Nothobranchius furzeri: one gene and its partner. The protein of the gene in region 1 purifies or fractionates together with the protein of each later gene. This does not show direct contact. Links are inferred from orthologs where the notes say so. Each region holds a gene or a part of one and is shown on either strand. Other genes may lie near its edges.

Region 1 (3,755 bases):
TCCTATGGACATCAAAAAGAAGGATTAGGTTCTAATTTTCTGGTTTAACAAAAGCAAGGAAATAAGATCATGATGTTAGAAAAACATATTTAGCTTTTTACGTTACAGAAATCAAGTTTGTGAAAACTTGATGAAAGAAAAAAGTTCAGTCTGAAATGCTAAACTTATAACTTTGTTGCAAAGCTACAGAATTGCATTTAATTTTTTAAACACTATCCTCCATTTACAAAAAGCAACAAAGTCAACAATGTTAAAGGTGAAACAATTTTAGTAAGCTTGTTAAACGGTGCTTATTGAGTGACAGTAAAATAAAATGCAGATTTGGATTTACGTTTATCATTTTGTGTCACATCATTGCAAAGTAAATGTTATGAAAGATTTTAAGACTTTAAAGTGACTTTCTTTTATTTTCCGTTATGTGACTTTTCAGCTTTTCGATTTATGGAGAAGAGGACAGCTATGGTTGCACCCTTTTCTGTAAAACCACATCCTTTTTTATATTGTTCATCAAAACATTAAACACGTTGCTCTTTAGTCTGCATTAGATGCATTGATGTACTCGAAGTTGCTACTAAATTGGGTACTATTATTTTGAATTAAAATGTTTTTATTTTTGATTGATAGTTTGATTGTAATAATCCAACACTGTATTCACAAATGCAGATTTTTATTTATGATTATTACAAAATGTACTAACTGGAATAATAACATAAGTGCATTTACAAAGTCCCTGAAACTGGTCAAGAATTAGTCAGTCATTTCTTTTGTCCACAGTTTGAAATATTTAATCTAAAATATTCAAATGTTCAATTTAAACACAAAGGCTATTCAGATTTGTTTTATGTTTTTATAACATTTATTTTTGTGCTTATTTTTCCCCAAATTTTTTTAACATTGAAGTTTATAATTTTATAAATTTTTGTTGTTCAAACTCCGTTCAATCTGTGCAGTTTTCAGGTAAAAAAAAAATTCACACATGATGAAGACTGTTTTGTCTATAAAGTTGTTAATAAAGTTTGTTTAAAAAAAGTCAACAGTGACGTAATCCTTGCTCTTACGCACGACGTAAGATGCTGGAATTGATTGTAGGCTAGTGTTAGCCGTGTAGCTGGTTTGCCAACAAGAAAGAAAATGGACTCGCCTATCCTGGTAATATCTAATTTATTTTTTCATGACGGCATAATGTTAGTGAAGCGTTTAACCTCGTAGTGTAAACATTTTTTTAAATTGTCTTCATAATTTAGGCGAAATGCTGCTTATTTAGCATCCTCCCGAGTTAACTTGACAGAGAGCTAACTACAGTGTTAGCTAACTAGTTAGCGTCGAGGAAGTATGTGTCCGTTTGTTGCTGATGTGGAAGTGTCATGTCCTCCACCTGACATGAACAAGAATACCGTCATGACAACATTTTTACAACCGTTTTTGATACATGTCTTAAGACTAAACGATCCTATTATGGCCTAATCACGGCCATTTTTCTTAAACTATCCTTCTTACTACAAACCTTAATTTCTAGTCCTTTATGTTTGTTTAAACACAACGCACTGTACTGCTGTCTTCACAGGAACCCTCTTTGTATACGGTCAAAGCTGTTCTGATTCTGGACAATGACGGAGACAGGCTTTATGCCAAGGTATGACTTTAATCCTGATTCATCTTTTTTACTTTAAATATTTTCTTCAAACACGCAAAGTCTGATTTAATGTCAATATTACAGCTTTTCACTTGGATTAGATCCCCCCAAAAGCAATAAGTTAATTATTCAACACACCTGATACATTTTCATAAATTTTTCATGACCTATTTAATAATAATAGATTTGAGCTGTACACAAACAGTTTTTAGATGTATTTGAAGGTGGTGATTGCAAAGCACTAAAAAAAAACACAGGAGTCTTTTGTGTAATTAGATAGAGAAATTTAATTAGACAAATTACAGGCGTTATTCCTTGGTCTGTTGGTCTGTTTAAAATTTAAGGTGTTCCTGATTTATATGGTTAACTATTTTAATTTTAATTTAATGTATTCATTTTTAAAATGTATCTTATTTACTTTTTATTGCTAAAAATGGTCAAAGCTGATGGCTCCTACCCCCACACCTTAAAGTTTTGTTTAAAAACAAGTTTATTTTTACTGACTCAGTATAATTCACATTATTCAATCCTTGTAATTTTATATCATAATTTTAAATATTGTTAATCATAGAAGCAAAGTTTTAAATGTAAAACTATGTTACTAGGTTTTAAATATGTTTGCTTCCGTAGTAGAAACCGTTTGGCTAACCCCGGCTTTCCACGGGAGCCGTCAGCAGCACGTTACTGCAGCAGCACGTCATAGCTGCTGATAGGAACCGCTGTGGTCAACAGAACCTTTTCCACCGGAGCCGCCGGCAGCCGTCAGCAGCGCGAGTCGGCCGCGTCTCAGGAGCAGCATGTCGCGGCCTTTACGCGCCGGTTCTATTTTCTACGCGCGACGCCTCTGAAACGGGTCAAGTTCGACATTTTTGGGGAAGGAAAGACAGGAAATCGAACGCGGAAATGGGGAGAAGCTCTCGAGATTTTCAGAATAAAGAACGTACTGCCTTCCGGTTGCTTTACTTTTAAAAACAGTTACTAACTGTGCGTCCCCGTGAGAAGTTATCACACAGCTAGTGGTCTCCTTTGTTTTTCAGGTCCGTATTGGCGATTATAAAACGGACAGAACATAAAACACAAACCATGTTGTAGTTTTCTCCTGCTTGTTGTTGTGTTTACTGACGAAGTCACTCGTGTGACTTCGTGCTCGGTCGGTGACAGCTGCTCCCCTGCTGCTTCGCGTCTCGTGGGAAGGGCCAAGCAGCAGCTTACGCGAGCAAGACGTGCTGCTGCAGTAACGTGCTGCTGACGGCTCCCGTGGAAACCCGGGGTTAGTGTCACAGAATCGATAGGGAAGTCAGACCTTTTAGAAACTTAATGTTTCCTATTTTAATGAAGAATATTTTACGTACCACATTATTTATATACTTTAATGTAAAATAATAGATTTATTTGAATTGTTTTAAAATGTACTTTTCTTCTTGGTGTGTCTGCAGTATTATGACGACACATATCCGACGGTGAAGGAGCAAAAGGCGTTTGAGAAGAACATATTCAACAAAACACACAGAACAGACAGTAAGCTAAGCATATTAAAGGTAATTGGTTTGCTTCAGTACATGACTAAAATGTGATGGTATTATTTGTTTGTTTGTAGGTGAGATTGCATTACTGGAAGGCCTAACTGTTGTCTACAAGAGCAATATAGATCTCTTCTTTTATGTCATCGGAAGTTCACATGAAAATGAGGTAAAACTGAAAGAACTTTCATGAAAAGTCAGCCTTTTCTTAATTATAGCAGATAAAACAGTCACATTTTAACTGCTAATATTTTCACATAATTACTATTTGTTGAAATTTGTTCTTTTTCAATAGCTTATGCTCATGGCTGTTCTAAACTGCCTATTTGATTCCCTCAGTCAGATGTTGAGGTATGTCTTGGTAGCAGTTTAGCACAAAATGTCAAATGTTTATAAACCATTAATCTCTCAGATTGGGATTGAGTTATTTCTCTTTAATTTTACAGAAAAAATGTTGAGAGGAGAGCTCTGTTGGAGAATATGGAGGGACTCTTCTTGGCTGTGGATGAAATAGTGGATGGGGGGTGAGTTTGAACCACCAATGATCTTTAACTAAAAACTTTTTCTTTATACTTACTGTGGTGTTTTGGGTTACTTACAGC
Region 2 (3,755 bases), on another chromosome or scaffold:
CTTGTGGATTATTTGTAATGAATACTCCTGCATTAGTATTTATTGATGAAAGGCAAGTCAAGCACATTAGCTTTAGTGCATTCCTTTACTGCACATCAATTTGGACACTCATTGCTATTGAACCCCCAATAAATCCTTAATAATAATACATTCATTCAAACTTTATTTCAGACAAGGGATATGTCCTTAACAAGAATAAAAAAAGAAGTAAAAAACACATTCAAATTAAAAACCATATAGTTGTTCCAATGTTTAAAAAGGACTGAGGAGTACCTCGTGTCACTGTAAGTTAAAGATGACAGTGCTCTAACAACAGCGTTAGCTGACAAACTCAGTCGGCAGATGAATTTATACATGAAGAGCCTCAGAAGCGCATGAAAAGTAGGGATGTTATAACAAACATATGACTTGCCGAAGTCCATCTAGGGAGCTTCATGAGGATTCTAAAAGCATCCTGATAAGCCACTTGAAGCTTCTTCATTACTACCTTACTATAGCTGCACCACAAGTGGGCTGCATAGAAAGGAGTACAAAAGGAACGAAAGAGGGACACTTTAACAGGATCTGAGCACATACCAAAGTTACGTGCCAGAGTGTTAGCCTGCATGTACAACTTACCGCATTGCCTCTTAATATCCTCGTCATCACAGAGGTCACTTCTTAAAATGTGCCCCAAGTATTTTACTTTGCTTACCACTTTGAGGACCTGATTTGTTAAGTTAAAAGATGGAAAATTAAGCTTCAGGTCCCCTTTAGTAGCAGCAATCATAACCACACTCTTTAAACAGTATGTCAAATTGCTCACCATACTTAGCACATGCCCTGAGCAGCTGCTGCAGGCCTGCGCTATAGGGAGACATGAGGACTAGGTCATCTGCATATATTAAATGATTTACAAGGCAGTCACCCACCAAGCATCCAGTCTTGCTATCATTCAAAGTAACAGTAATTAAATGTGTTAATATAACGGCCACATTTGTCAATATACATATCCACGTGAAAAATCAATACAGAATATAGATCTAAAACCAGCAAACATAAATGTATTAAATATATTTTCGGACATATATATATATTTATACCCACCCAATATGGCGGTGACGCTGTTAAGCTCTCTGGCGCCTAATGTCGGATCTACATAAAAAGTCGGGGAGGACGGGAGGACTCATGAAAAATCTCAGTTTTCTTTTTTTTTTAAATTTATAATTCGCAATAACGGGTTTACCATTGTCATTTATATAACCGAATTATATCAGCTTTATAAGTTTGAACTCAATTTTCATTGGGACTTCCCAAGATCGCCTGTTGGTGCAGTTCGATGAGATCTATTTCTATTCGCCGCTGCCGTGGAGCTTTCTGCGTCAGAGGAAAACTTTATTGTCCATAACCGGAAGACAGAAGCGGACTACGTGTCAGGAAAAAGAAATCGGCTAAACAGGCGAAGGAGTCCAGGCCGTCCCTGTCATTTACACTGAATTTTTTTTTTTGTTCTCATTGATTACTTTTGTTTTAACCATAGTTTTAATATTAGGGTTTGAAGGGCTTAAACGGTGAGAATGTTAACTAAATTTGAAACGAAGTCGGCCCGAGTCAAAGGTAAGAGTTTGCCAACAACTAATAGCACATAAGCTAACATCGCTAGCTGGCGTGAACCTGATCAATTAATGTATTCTATAAAAGGAGATGGTTTTTAAAACATATTTTGCTGTTGTTATTTAAGTATTTACATACATTCGTCATACGTTCAATTTTCTGTATGATTAGCATTTTGCGGTTGCGCTCACATATGTTTGGGGTAGCTATCGTTAACGTATTTTGGGTTCCCAGCTCTTAAAGTGTGTTATTATATTTAATCCAGCATATGTTACATTTCAGGCCTGAGTTTCCATCCCAAAAGGCCATGGGTTCTTGCAAGTTTGCACAACGGTGTGATCCAGCTGTGGGACTATCGGATGTGCACACTGATCGACAAATTTGATGAACATGACGGTGAGACGGTGACGTGGCTATCGTGTTTGTTGATATTACGCACCTTTTTATAAATAAATAATTGTGGTTTTACCTGCAGGCCCCGTCCGAGGAATTGATTTCCATAAACAGCAGCCCCTGTTTGTGTCTGGAGGAGATGACTATAAAATCAAGGTAAGACTGCTATTAAAACTGGAATTATAGGAAATATGTTTGGGTTAGATTGTGGATTAGTGTTTGTGATACTTAAAACTTTGTCACCTTTTAGGTTTTTGTGTTTAATAAGTGAATTTGTTTGAACCAGGTGTGGAACTACAAGCTGAGGCGCTGCCTCTTTACTCTTCTCGGACACCTGGACTACATTAGAACAACATTCTTTCATCATGTGAGTTGGACTGTCACACTTTGTCCTAAAATGTATCTTTGGTGACTTGATGTATTGTTAATAGCTTTATTCAAGTCTCTTAACACCTTGGATATGTATCTAGAGTTCTGATCCTGATTTTTAATATAAACATAAACAGAACAACAGTAAAGAGATTGATACAACTTGAGTCAGCTTTGCATTTGGGTTTTAATAAATGACCTTGCTTAAATTTGTGAAGGTTCATAAAGTTTTTTTATGTTTGCGATGGTTGTATGTTGGCTTTTTTCATGAAATACTCACTTTACCTGTAGGAATACCCCTGGATTCTGAGTGCCTCTGATGATCAGACAATCCGCATCTGGAACTGGCAGTCCAGGACGTGTGTATGGTAAGACAGTTGGTGCACTTTATTATTTTACTAATCGTCGAGTCATAGTTTAGCTATTTGATTCGATACAGGGAAGAGTGTGGGTTCAAATACTCAGTAAATTGCTTTTGAGCTCTTTTCAGACATTAGAATTTTTATACTATAGGTCTGTTCTAGTTTTTGACTCGCAGCTTTCACTGCCCTGCAAACATTAAAGTTAGATTTTTCTTTCCCCCTCCCTTTTTGTGTCACCCAGTGTACTCACAGGACACAATCACTACGTGATGTGTGCCCAGTTCCACCCATCTGAAGACCTGGTGGTGTCTGCCAGTCTGGACCAGACCGTGCGAGTGTGGGATATCTCCGGTGAGGGCCTGGGATGAAAGGACCAGAGTGGACAGTGGGCTGGGTTTGGGTGAAGGGGTTGAGTACAGAGTGGAAGGAGGCAGAAACAGGACTAATACAAGTCCTTTACCTCTTCTTTCTCTCCAGCTCCTAGATGACAATTCTCTGTGGGCTCTTTGCAGAAACACCTCTCCTTTCAGGACCGAGACATTTATGTTGTTGCATTTAGGGATAACGTTGCATGGTGGCCTGGAGAAGATCTAGTGTAGTGTAAAATGGTCCAGTGAAATTGGAGAAGTGTTTCTGTATCTCTGCATGGTTTTAACACTTTTAATGTGTTTCCTTCTTTCTTTCTTTTTTACCCAAACTGAACAATTTCTTTGCTCTCATCTTCTTTAATTTTTAAACATGGAAAATGTGCATTTTTTTATTTATCTTGTGACCTCACTTGTGCTGGATTTGTGCTTTATATAATGTTAATATATTGAGCTTGATTGCATCCATTGCTGCATTATAAATGCTAAACTGCATGCTGTAACAATTCTCCTCGGTAGGTCTTCATGCTGATTTTGCTTTGAGAGATCACATTCAGTGGAAGGCCCCTGTTGTTTTGTCTCTCAAGTTCAATACGTTTTTAAAACTGAACAGTTACTAAAGTGGTGCAGTTGTTAGCACTGTTGCCTCGCAGCACGAAGGTTGCAGGTTCAA

Evidence for each region. The genes of interacting proteins can lie anywhere in the genome.
Region 2: the proteins of copz1 (region 1) and copa fractionate together in Homo sapiens (co-fractionation; 6 studies listed by BioGRID and IntAct, with this or other methods). This does not show direct contact. The link is inferred for Nothobranchius furzeri from reciprocal best matches to the Homo sapiens genes COPZ1 and COPA.

What each region holds. Positions count from the first base shown.
Region 1 is NC_091755.1:25,755,051-25,758,805, reverse strand, and holds the start of copz1 (coatomer subunit zeta-1), read left to right. Parts: upstream 1-1,018; 5' UTR 1,019-1,131; coding exon 1,132-1,149; intron 1,150-1,564; coding exon 1,565-1,633; intron 1,634-3,069; coding exon 3,070-3,151; intron 3,152-3,230; coding exon 3,231-3,322; intron 3,323-3,448; coding exon 3,449-3,504; intron 3,505-3,599; coding exon 3,600-3,677; intron 3,678-3,754; coding exon 3,755-3,755. UniProt on the Homo sapiens protein: The coatomer is a cytosolic protein complex that binds to dilysine motifs and reversibly associates with Golgi non-clathrin-coated vesicles, which further mediate biosynthetic protein transport from the ER, via the Golgi up to the trans Golgi network.
Region 2 is NC_091751.1:41,093,126-41,096,880, reverse strand, and holds the start of copa (coatomer subunit alpha), read left to right. Parts: upstream 1-1,400; 5' UTR 1,401-1,556; coding exon 1,557-1,596; intron 1,597-1,875; coding exon 1,876-1,989; intron 1,990-2,068; coding exon 2,069-2,142; intron 2,143-2,272; coding exon 2,273-2,353; intron 2,354-2,646; coding exon 2,647-2,723; intron 2,724-2,958; coding exon 2,959-3,068; intron 3,069-3,755. UniProt on the Homo sapiens protein: The coatomer is a cytosolic protein complex that binds to dilysine motifs and reversibly associates with Golgi non-clathrin-coated vesicles, which further mediate biosynthetic protein transport from the ER, via the Golgi up to the trans Golgi network.